2 linked regions of the Drosophila melanogaster genome follow. The gene in region 1 interacts genetically with each later gene. Each region holds a gene or a part of one and is shown on either strand. Other genes may lie near its edges. The genes, in order: fl(2)d and so.

What was found.
Region 2: of fl(2)d (region 1) and so, changing one suppresses a phenotype caused by changing the other (phenotypic suppression), as found in Drosophila melanogaster (one study listed by BioGRID).

Annotation. Positions count from the first base shown.
Region 1 is NT_033778.4:13,818,949-13,826,595, reverse strand, and holds fl(2)d (female lethal d), read left to right. Parts: upstream 1-2,042; 5' UTR 2,043-2,467; coding exon 2,468-2,804; intron 2,805-4,420; exon of another isoform or gene 4,421-4,830; intron 4,831-5,038; coding exon 5,039-5,163; intron 5,164-5,226; coding exon 5,227-5,560; intron 5,561-5,626; coding exon 5,627-6,441; 3' UTR 6,442-6,972; downstream 6,973-7,647. Other genes in the region: CG13339 (uncharacterized protein), read right to left, coding at 1,165-1,385, 1,439-1,676. UniProt on the Drosophila melanogaster protein: Associated component of the WMM complex, a complex that mediates N6-methyladenosine (m6A) methylation of mRNAs, a modification that plays a role in the efficiency of mRNA splicing and is required for sex determination.
Region 2 is NT_033778.4:7,417,426-7,422,560, reverse strand, and holds the start of so (sine oculis), read right to left. Parts: upstream 3,212-5,135; 5' UTR 2,563-3,211; intron 66-2,562; exon of another isoform or gene 1-65. UniProt on the Drosophila melanogaster protein: Required for visual system development. May transcriptionally regulate genes necessary for optic lobe invagination and Bolwig's nerve formation.

The sequences.
Region 1 (7,647 bases):
CACGGCTTACAGTCCGTTTCGCCCAGAATCGCGACTTTACTTTCCACTCTTTGCACTTGTCTCGATTTTTCCAGCTACCTTTGCGCTCGCTAAAAAAAACTCTCGAATTCGTACTTCAAATGCTCGATTTTGTGTGCCAAGGGCCTCCTGATTTGCTGTGGACTCTGATGCGGTCACGCGACGCGGTAGATGCAACCCCAAACACGGTGAAATTCTTTCTGAGCGCTCCGCCAAATCCGCAGCTGTCCGGCGAGATTTCCGCCGAGCTGTTTCTGTTTCTCTGGAGAGCGAGAATCTCACCGAAAGAGAGAGATTGCGCACTGAACAACCCTGGCAAATCTCTATTTTATATTCTGCGATAAGTTTTAAGTATTTTCAAACATCTAACTTCAATACTTCTTGCTTATATATTTTTTTTCAAATTTTTAAATTTACCGAATGATTGGATATCTACAGTATCCAAATAAATTTTTTATAATAATGTTATGTCATAAATTCAATTTATTTTTAGTCTGCTATAAGTTTAAAAAAGTATTTTAAAACTTCTAGGCTTACTACTTCTCTCTCAAAATTTAGAAATTACCGATTGAGGATTGGATTTTTATAGATACTAAAAAACATTTTCAAAACAATGTTATGTTATAAATTTCATAATATTTTTGCTTGGCTTCTACAAAATGAAAATTTTTTAAAAAGTACTGCTTAATTTTAAAGCATTGTAGCTAGAAATTTCAATTTCAAATGAGTATTATTGCTTTCAATATTGTTATCAGATTGTTTATAGCTAAAACAAATATATTTTTTTTGCAATGTCGGTTCATGTCATTATGTTAATAGGGTTGGAACTGAAGATATCAATCCGAAAAACTGCCGGCTTTGCTCTGCTATAAATCTGTACTGAAATATTATATAATGTTAACTACTTCTTCACATTATATAGATCAAATGTATGCACTTGTTTTGTAGCTTTTTTCCAGTTCTTAAACAAATTTAGAAACTATTTAGAATAATAGAACAATTTTTGGATTAACACTTATTTTATTTTATTTACATATTTGTACAACAGCCCTAATATTAGATATTTAATGTTGTTCATATAACAAATATCCCGAACATCAACAATATTTCCTTATGATCTAATGACCCTTATGATCAGTTAAGCTTTCAGCCCTTTATGCAATTGGTTATTTCGGTCCAGAAGGCCTGAACTTCAGGATCCTGCATTAAACTACGTTTCTTAGCGTTCAAAACTATGTTGAGGATGTCGGCATTTTTGCAGCAATCCCGTCTGGCGGATTTGCCATCCGGCGCCTCCGGGGAAAAGCCTTCCGTCTCCTGGTCATCCATTGGATCCACTTCACCCGCCGGACTGCCCAATTGTCCAACTGCAAAATAACAATGTATTTGGGGGAATCTATTGCTTAATCAACTTAAATACCTTTCTTGCACTTGGTCGCCTCTGTTTTCGGTTTTTCTGTCCGTTTTTGGTAGGGTTTTCTTGGTTTTGAGACATCTTTCGTCTTGCTGCGCTTGGCATTCGCATCGGTGGGCAGCAATTCGGGACTCTCGGCGGGATTATCCGCATCCTGCTGCAGGCGCCGCTTGACGTGCAGATTCAGGCGCTCCTTGATGTTTTGCTGTTCCAGTTTTATTTGCACACCAGTGGTTTCTGCCATGTTTTTGCGTTTTGAATATAAAAACAATATCCAAAACAGTCCACCAGTGTGACCCCTAAATAAATCTTACAAAAAAATAAACAGTAACGTAAGATACAACTTTCTCACTTGTATTTGATTGTTCCTAATTATTTCTAACTATGTAAATATCGTTAGTATTGGATGCAAAGCTATGGCGGTAGACGTAAGGAAGGAATTATCAGTGCAATTTAGAAGTTAAATAAATTTGTTATCTAATAATTATTTGGCAAAATTTGTGGCAGTGTGAACGGAACTGGGTTGAGTCTCCGCTACCCCATATCCGAGCCACGCACCCCAGGTCTGCATTTGTGTCGATGGCAAATCTGGTATTTTTCAGCGACGCCATGTTGGATTGCGAACAACAGTTAACAGCAGCAAACGAGAAATCAGCTCGCAGCGCAGAAAAATTAAAAAATATCGCCGTAAAAGTGAGCCCAACCGACCCAAAACATATGAAAAGTGTGAATTAAAGGACAATAAAGATATAAATCATTAATTAAGCTTTGAGCAAGCGCGAAAAGTACGCGAAATCAACGTTTTGCAAAACGTTCGCCATACGCGTCGCCATTGGTGTGAGCGATAGCTTGCCTGTGTGTGCGTGTGGTATTGGAGGAGGTGAGAGCGCCTGTGTGTGTGTGTGTTTGCGTGCGTGTGTGAGAGCGAGCGAGCGGCCCCTATGAAAAGCAACAGCAACAACGCCAGCAAAGGACCCGCAACAACAACAACAACAACAGCAAGAGTAACAAGCACAGCGTTTTAATATCCAAATAATGAGTGTCGCTGCAATGACTATGGACGATCAAAGACCCTGTATGAACAGTTACGACAAAATGCCCCCGACCAAATACGAGCAAAACCTAAATATCCTAAACAGCAGCCAAAACAGTGGGGCCACTGGCGGCCCCGCCTCCCCAACGCCCTCCGGCTTGGAGGACCACCATCATCATCACCATCCGCATCCGCACCATCATCACCATCAGGAGCAGCAGCAGCAGCAGCAGCAACAGCAACACTTGCAGCAGCAGCAACAACAGCAGCAGCAGCAACATGCAGCAGCTGTTGCAGAGGCTGTTGCAGCCGCCGAACAGCGACAGCGCTTGCTCGAAGGTATTTTGCACATTTTGGTACACTGCTATATGATCAGAGATCTATCTGATCTATATAATACCCCCTATATACTACATACATACTCGTTTCGAATACCGACAAAAAAAAAAAGAAAAGGAAAAAACCACGATCCAAAGTGTTGACTCTGTGTAAATTGTATAAATAATGCAATATATAAACAACAAGTAAACGTAGTCTTTTAGTTTATTTCTGCCCCCACTCCACTTGGGTTTCTTGTGTCATTTGAATTTGTTTATGAAAAACACTCGGTAAAGAACTCAACGTATATATTATGTGAATCGAATCGAAGCGAACACTCTTTGCAACGAACATTCTTTCAGCGGCGTTTTGGTTAACTTTATTTATTTATTTTTTTCAACACCACCTCGAGCAAACCGTCGAATGTAGTGAAAGTGCTTTCAAAAAGGACCATGCATATAATAATCTATAATACCTAAATATGAACTAAGTTAAAAGGCAACTGACGCCTAAAGTTATCAAGTGATTACAAAGTGTTGTGCAACAGAACTATCTAAAATATAAAATATGAGTTAAATAATCATAAATAATATATGAGAATCGTAACCAATTATAACCAGTAAGCTGAGCTAAGCTTTAATATTGAAAGCAATCGTACTTAAAATAAAAAATTATAAAATGAATCATAAGAAGATAAGGTTAACGAAGTAAAGTTTAAGATTTTATATAATCTTAATGAGAAAACCGGGCTGATAATAACATCAAATGAATAGAGCATATCAAGTAATAATAGTAGAGAATCCTAATCGGAGATTTTCCTCGTTTTCCGTCGTTTTTGCGGTGTACAGTTTTCGTTTTGCGACCACTTTTCGTTTGCCTACGTGCCCGTTGAAGAAGAAGAAGAAGCACAGCAGCAGAGAAGTGGAGAGGAGAAGAAGAGAGCCAACGTGTCTGCGTCCCCTGCCCCACCCCCTGGACCCATCTTATTCTCTCTCTTCGCGCCCCTCACGCTCTTTTCGTCGCGCCTAAATATAAATAATAATATTAAATAATCAATTGAAAATGTGACAGTGCATAACCAAAGAGAAAATAAAGTTGAAATTCTTTTTCTGTTGAAATTGTGTTAAAGAAGTGAACGTCAAATGAAAAAAACATTGCCTCGTGTGTTCAAACAAATACAAATGTTTAAATAAATGGCGCCAAAATACGGCGAACATGTGTGCGTTTGTGTGTGAGTGTGTATATTCACAATTGTTAAGCTTACTTAATTGATTTTTAAACGCTTAATTGGCCGCCAATCAATCAATTAACATGCAATGTGGGACACACGCACATGCACACATTTGTTTGCCCCGATCAAATAGTATATATAAATATAAAATAATTGCTTGGCTAAGTAAATACAAAAGCGAAGTTATATATGTACGTGTTTGCACAACAAATCCAACAAAAAATGCAAAGTCAATAAACTTTTTGTATGACAAAAGAGTGTTCGAAAATGCCGCAAAAAAGAGAAGGGGAAAAGCTTTTGAAATCCATGCATACATACATCCATGCATAGGCATACGAAAAAGCTTCCGAAAGCCCATTGTGTGTGCGTCGAGTTTTTTGCAAGTGTTTTTCAAAAATATTTTCAGTTTTGCCACAAAAAATATGTATACCAATCAGTCATCGTTGTTTTCCACAGTGTATGCAAGTTCGAAAATGCCGCGAAGATTCAAATTCAATCGCCAATCAAGTTCGATGCAAATGCAAATGCATAAGCAAAAGCAAGAAATCAAAATGCAAATAATGGCAGGTGTTCAAGTTATTCAAGTGCCAATGATAATGCCAGAGATAACGAAGCAATCGAAATCGAAATCCAAACCGCAAGCGAATTCGATACCGAAATCGATATCGTGTTGTCCAAGTTCAAGTGGTTCAAGTTGTGACACTCGCATCGAATCAAAATCTAAATCAATATCATTATCAGCCAGAGATTGACGACGGGATGCGGCCTTTTCCACCGACCATGTCACGAACTTACACGAATGATTGCAACGCATTGGTATGATTTCGTATTAAGTTCCACCTAAAAAAACAAACACTTTGCCTTGCCCATTAAGAACTTGTAAAATATCTATGTATATATAGTACGATATTGTTATATCTCGTGTGCGAACCAAAAAAAAAAAAAAAAGACAGTGGCTCTCTCAGCTTGGAACGCCCGTTATCTAGACCCCATTATTAGCTAATCCTTATCCTTCGATTCGCAGATGAGATCGAGAATCTCAAGCTGGAACAGGTCCGCATGGCTCAGCAATGCGCGGACGCCCAGCGACGCGAGAAGATCCTCATGCGACGGCTGGCCAACAAGGAGCAAGAATTCCAGGACTATGTGGTGGGTACTCGCCTTAATATACACAAATTTCTCAAATACTAATGCACCCGTAATCCCCATTAGAGCCAAATTGCCGAGTACAAGGCCCAACAGGCGCCAACTGCCCTCGCATTGCGCACTGCTCTGCTCGATCCTGCGGTCAATCTCCTGTTCGAGCGGCTCAAGAAGGAACTTAAGGCCACCAAGGCCAAGCTGGAGGAGACCCAGAACGAGCTGTCCGCATGGAAGTTCACGCCGGACTCTAATACCGGCAAACGCCTAATGGCCAAGTGCCGACTGCTCTATCAGGAGAACGAGGAGCTGGGCAAGATGACCTCCAACGGCAGACTGGCCAAGCTGGAGACCGAACTGGCCATGCAGAAGAGCTTCAGCGAAGAGGTCAAGAAATCGCAGTCGGGTAGGTTAAATCTGAACTAGGATTGGGATCGAAACTTATAGATATGTAAACTCCTTTACCATTTAGAGTTGGACGACTTCCTGCAGGAGCTGGACGAGGATGTGGAGGGCATGCAGAGCACCATTCTGTTTTTGCAGCAAGAACTAAAGACCACACGCGATCGCATACAAACGCTTGAGAAGGAGAACGCCCAGTTGAAACAGGCCATCAAGGATGAGGTTGTGGCTCCAGCGGCTGCCACCAACGGTGGCACCAACACGACGATAAATAAGCTAGAGACCATTCACGAGGACGCTTGCATGGCGAATAACCCAACGAATCCGGATTGTTACAATGGGAATACCAACAACGAACAGATCGCGGCCGTGCCACAGATACCACTGTCGGATGATGGCAGCAATATGAACGGAAATGCAGCGCGATTAGCCCGCAAACGAAACTACCAAGAGGAGGAAGCCCTTCCAACGGTAGTGGTGGTGCCGACTCCCACCCCAGTAGGAAATAACGTCCAGGAAGCGCCGCCCATCAGGGAAGTTACCGCCCCACGTACTCTGCCGCCCAAAAAGTCCAAGCTGCGAGGCATTACCACGCGTCGCAACTCCCAGCTGGAGGAGGATCATCAGCCAGTGACAACACCAGTGGCCGTCCCCATGATCGTGGACAACGCTGTGGCCGGAATGGCGAGCGAAGAGGCTGCTGCCGCCGCTGCGGCTGTTAATAACAGCAATACGGGAATAATCCCGGAAACGGGAGTGCAAGTGGGTGTCCCAGTTGAGGGCGGCGATCCAGGTGCTCCGGCGGCACCGGGCCGCATCCTGACCCGTCGTCGGTCCGTCCGCATGCAGCAGAACGGCAGCGGAGCAGTCGACTACTCCACCTAAGCGCTGGCGAACCTTTTTCCAAAAAAGGGTGCACTCCATATGAGTTCGTCAAATTGATCGTTAATTCCTGACGTTTACTTTTGTGAATTGAGATTTCAAAACAGAGAGAGACTTCATTTTATATTTCTAACCTATCTTTTAGATTCTTTAATTTTTTTTACACATTGTCTTGTAAAATACGTTTATTATTTCGTTTGCATGCGGCGTAGACATACATAATTCGCAAATTATTTAGAAGTCACTGCTTTACATACGAAATGCATTATGTAGAACAGTGTAAAACTTCAGCACATATATTTACAATAATACGATCGAGCTAAATGATAATGCTAAAAACTGATACACTATTTATGTTTTTTAACCACGGCATCTACTGAAAAGCTGAAAAGAAAGCTTGGTCAAAACAAAACTTGTCATTTAGCAAAATTAGGTTTTAATTATCAACTTAAGGCATTTTTGTAATACTATGAAAGTTGTGTAAAATAATATAAACTTGTGTTAAAATAAATTGTTAAGCATAACAAATATTTCAAAAAACCAGTGTCCTTTAATTTCAATTGCCGCCCAGCAAAACAATCGTTTTGATTTTCGAAATTATCTTGTGTTTATTATCAGTTTCTTCTTTTAGCACATTAGACAAATGGTTTTACTTGTATTTGATTGAATTCGAAATATGTTTATGTATGTAGTACAATTGTGGCTGCCAGCGAGTGTGTTTGTATCCTTTGTTTCGTTTGTGTCTGTGAGAAGAGTTTAAACTTGAGATCGGGCTAAAATGTTCTGGTAAAGAGGCCTGCAAGCTTGGCATAGTTTGATATTTGCTTTACCCTACTTTCAATCGAAATGTACAAAATGAGTAGGGATGTGGTGAGACAACCTGCAAGGGGGTTAAACGTACTTCCGATTCCATATTAAATAGTTAATAACAAATACTAGGCAGTTCGAATGGCACAAGTTGATTACACTACCATGGGGAAATGTGGGGTGTCTAAAGCTTAGCGAGTTCTGTTCCGATCGGAGGAGATATCCTTTCGGCTGAGAGTTTGTTTGTCTAGATGTACGATAGTTTGTTATGGTAAATTTCAACTAGTCAATGGTTTAAGTGTAGTATTATTAATAATTTAGTCGCTAGATGCTGCTGCGTTTACTCAATCGTCTCAGTTCTGTGGCTCGTATCAAGTAGTTAGTAATAAAAAGTATTTCTCA
Region 2 (5,135 bases), 6.4 Mb from region 1:
TTTGGCTGCCTCTTCAGTTCGCCTTGTGGGAGATCTGTTATCGCGCGCCTGTAGCTGCCTGACTTTTGTGGCATTCGAATAAAATTAATTTAATTTATTTTACAAATTCTGTAATTTATTATCTATTGGTTTCTGTTTCTGTATCGTGTTTGCCCCATTCCCCTTCCCCTGTGCTTCTTCCTACTTTTATAAGATTTTAATTTGAATGTCGTGGAATCCCTGGAAATCTGAAAGCGGACACCTAACTCTATTGGGCTGTTAATCAAATTGAATTGTTCGAGCTGCCGTGGCTGCAAGCGTTGTTCGCCTAATTAGTTTGTAATCAAAGTCAGCTTACGATTGACTTGTTGATGGATTCGATTCAACTCGCAGGGCAGTTCCAAAGCCCTAAGTCCTAAGTGCACTTCGGGAACTCTGCAGGTGAAGTGTGCCCCAGCTCGAGGAGCACCCAGCTCAACTTGGAGCATGGTGCCATCGCAATCGCAAAAAGCACAAACAGTGCGCCTGTTTCTCGCGGCTAACACCGAAATCATCTGCTCCGGCGTCTGTGTTTATACAATGTAATCGAATGGGAATGGGATTGAGACTGTGACTGGGGATTGGGGATTGGGGATTGGGGATTGAGGACTGGGAAGACGTGTGCCATGCAACCTGTTGTGGGCCAGCCCCCGTTCCGGGTAATTCGAACGGCTTTCTGGCCGCTGGTCGGGATTAGTAAGCGCTGCTGCTGCCAAACGGTCGAGACAATCGCTGCTATCCGCCAGATACTATTTTTAACATTTTCCGTTTAATTGCCGCGTGAGGGAGCTACGCACAAAGAAATCGAATAGAGCGCGGCGCAATGAATGAAATTTGTCAATTTAATGGGTTGCACACACATGTGTCTCTGCCTCCGCAGCCGAATGTATCTGCATCTGCATGTCGGCTGCTTTTCGCCTTGCTGCGCCGCATTTGCCAAACTTTGAATGAAACTGAAGTGCACTGGTCGAAAGTCCCGCCGGTGGGGAGCTCGTCCCCAAATTACGACGGATTCTGCACGCCGGTGCGTAAAATGATCAAAGCTGCTGCGGCCAAACTTGCGTATCTGTATCTGTTTCTGCCCGAGTCCCGAATCTAGGCGAATGGAATGCGCAAATTTGTCAATTTGGCCACTTCCGAGATGGAATCCACATGGCTGGTATCTTGATGATCCGAAATAGGCAACCAGAACCGTACGCAACATCTGCTCCCATCTCTGCACTCAATTAATCATTCGACTTCTGACGACAAACACGCGTTGGCCAATTCGTTTAAACGCTCCCAATCCCCCGAATATCGCAAATATCGAATTTAGCCGGACAAAAGTGGGTCCACGCCCACTCATCCTCACACGAAGTACAAAAGTTGTCGGCCAAACAGTCGCTATAGTTAATAATTTCATAAATTTTGTGGCGAGAAACGAAATGATAAAGCCAAATGGTTTCATAAATAAACACTGTGTGCGTTGGTTTCGAGCACCAAACGGTTGGAAAGCCTTTGCGATGAATGAATGACAACTGGAAACTACTTTTCCTTTGGATCAAATCCATCTCATATCTTTTCCTCTAATTAATAAATACATCTGAGGTGGGTGGGCCGTTGAGTAGCCAACTTGGAAACGTGGAAAACTTAGAAAAAAATTGAGCGGTGAATAAAACAACAGAATTTTTCTTTTGGTGTGTAAACAAGTTTCCTTTCCAAATATAAGTGAACATGCAATTCCCGTGCTTTTGCCTTCGTTTCGATTCCCTCAGAATTGCTTCTCAAGTGCCTCGAGTTGGTTTTCCGATGGCTTTTGGCCATTTGGAATTCGCCAATGCCACGCCGCCAAAAAGCGAAGTGCACTTTGGCTCTCAGCTCTCCTCATTGAAATCGGCAAAACGTTGTGAATCTATGGACTTCGATGATAGATTGATCCATTAGAAAGCGGATAGAGATACGCCGTGACATTTATGGACTGCATTAATGTTTTCGCTGCACACGCTTTAAAGGCTATTTAAAGCACTAAAATATATTTTTAAATGAAGTCTTCAAATAGGCAAAGTGATTGATACTTTCTCAGAGAACTTTAGGCTTTTCTAATCAAGAATAACGCTTTGCTGTAAGTTCCATTTTAACCGTATGGGATGTTTAATAAAAGGTCTATGTTCTATGATCTTATCTATAGGTGATAAGTGATTTCTTGAACATGTGGTTAGTTCTTCTAAGGCTTAGTTTGACCTATTGAAATTATTATTTTTCTGAAACTTTTGTATATATTTATGGTTTTATAATTTTAAGGTTCCAATATGGAAATGTATAATCTAATATTAGCTATATTTATTCACATAATCGTCCCGAAATTTATCATAGTTATTATATCTCCTTTTTCAAGTATCAATGCCAATTTTATTTTAAATTAATCCCCCATATACCATTCGTTTTTCTTATTGTGAAAGAATATCCGTCCTACTTATGCATCTACATATATTTTTGCCATGGTTTCTAGTGTTCCACAGTAAACTTTTGCCGTCGGCAGCATGAAAACTGAATCTCGCTGCTCACCTGTATTTTGATTATTTATTGTTGATACGTATCCGAGTTTGTTAGTTTTTGTTTGTTACTCTTTGTTTGGGTTTGTGCCTTTTGCCTTGGCTTTCCGATTCGACTTGTGCTATATCCGCAAATGTTAGAGTTGGCCAAGAAGGCGCTGATTTCGGCTGTGCGGCATTTCCTTGATTTGCATTTTGGCCAAACTCTTCAAATCGAAGCCATGTGCCGTTCGCGCACGCACACACTCTTAGTCGCGATCACACTGGGCACTAACTAACACAAGCTTGCCGTTGAATATTGCTCATACGCACTGTGCGAACACGTGTTGCAAATTACTTTTCGCGAAAACTTCGCTGTCCTGCGCGACTCGGACAAATTGCACCTGCAAATTTGGTGGGCAAAGCTGCGACGACAGCACTGAGGCAGTGCCAACAAAAAATGGCCGCCCGCGGATTGATTAGCTCAATTTTGCTCGCTTTTCTCTCGCTTCGTGTGCGTTTATGTGGCGCGATACTGATGCGTTCATTCAGGAAACACGCAAATTAAATATAACTTTGTGCGCGGGACGTCAAAAGACCGCCGGATCCGGCCTGGATTACTAAGCGAGCGACGTGGGTAGAACGGGCAGCGAACCGCACGCGACGGAATCTCGAAAACAACTGAGAACTCTCCGGTTCTCAAACCTAATCGAACCGAAAACGGCCGAGACAAAAGGCAGAAAATGGTTGGTGCCGCTGGCGGTGTGCGTGCGCCAGAGCGAGATGGCCGACTGGTCGTGCGAGTGTGTGAGTGAGCGAACACCAAGGGGGTGAACTGCACAGTGGGATGCACCGACACTTTGTGCGTCACTTTCCAAAAACGTTATAGGAAAATAATGGAATCAAGTGAAGCGAGACTTACATTCACTGACTTTTATAAAGTCACTGGGCACACACAGTTCATGATTACACATATATGAACTGATGATAACTCAGAATTCACTACGTTTTAGTTGTTTTCAATATCTTGCCTTTACAAGTGTTTTTATTTTTATTCTATTTTATTTTATTGTATTCTAATGTTTTCGTAGTAAGACATAGTACATTTTTCCGTTATTATATGCTATTGTATCTTCAAAACATTAGAAAATGGTTTTATATATTTTTAAAGTGGCTTACAATTAAGTTAAGTTAAGTTAAGTTAATTGGACAAATATTTTTATAAACGTGTAGCCATTGAATTTGACACACGGTGCCAATCGACAACAGTTTGACAGCCACTGCGAGAGGGGCAGCGTGCGAAAGAGCGAGAGAGCGCATAAACAGGTTGACCGAAAGAACGCCCCCTCGGCTTACCTGTTCGCACACACACACACACACACACACACACATAGATGCCCTCACGCACACCGGCGCACTGGAGGACAGCAACGTGCTGATTGGTCAGCGGAAACGCATGCCAGCAAAAAGGCATGCGCATTGGGCGCCATATTGAAAGGCGGAAATCGGAGGTGATTGCAACTGCATCGCTGCTCCTCCCCAGGAACTCCTCATCCTGGCTGAAAGGATGCCCGGTGCAATAGCTGCCATCCTACAATGCCGTTTGAATTACTCACCGCAATAGTTCCATGCATCTCTCGTATAATTGCAATTACTGGCCTTTTCTCATATTCATTCACTCCACTTTTTTGGTTTAACTCAACCTTGTGGTCCTTCCACATTAGTGCGGTTTGCATTGTATTATTTAATGATTCCGAAGGAGATGAAGCCGTTTGGTAATTGAAGCCAACTAATTGTGTTAATGATTTACTAATATATTTAGTTTACTAAATATTTACTATATACACAGGCTCCTTTCGTCTTCAAGTCCTTGTTCATGATAACTGAAATAACTTGAACCTAATTTAATTTCAAACTATTAACATGATCTAGAGACACCTGTACAAAGTGCAGCGATGCGTTCAGAATGCCTAACTTTCTTTTTGAATACAAATAGTCAACTTAAATCACAGAGTACTACACTGCTTAGTGAATTTTGTAGATGGTAATTAATGTAATTAATGTAAATTAATGTAATTAATGTAATGTAACGCTAAATGTATAGAAATTAGTCAAAGTACCTGTTGTTGGAGGAACCGCTTAGACAAATGGTATTATTTTCAGCACTTCTTTATTAAAATTCTGTCCCATTTATCGGTAGCTCGATCTCAGCGTGTGCCGTGAAAATCGCATCGAGGACCACCCAAAATGCAAATTCGGAAACGGAGCTGGGAAACTCGATCGAAATCCAACAAAGATGATGGACTAATGGGGCGCCAGGCCGGTGCACCTAATCAAGATCGGCAACTGCCCACACAGATCAGATGCCAAGTGAAGATCCATACCGCTGGCGATTTCAGTATCGTTTACAGCGATCGATAAGGTTTTGGCGCCAGGCCTCGACAGTCACCGATAGCCAAAATAAGTGTTAAAAAAATTAGGAAATCGTAAAATTTACATAATAACAGATCATATTTCAATCGAATTAGAAAGACAGACGGCAACGACAACAGTTGGGAATGCCAGAGGGACCAGAAAACACATAAAGATGGCCATAAAACAAAGTTG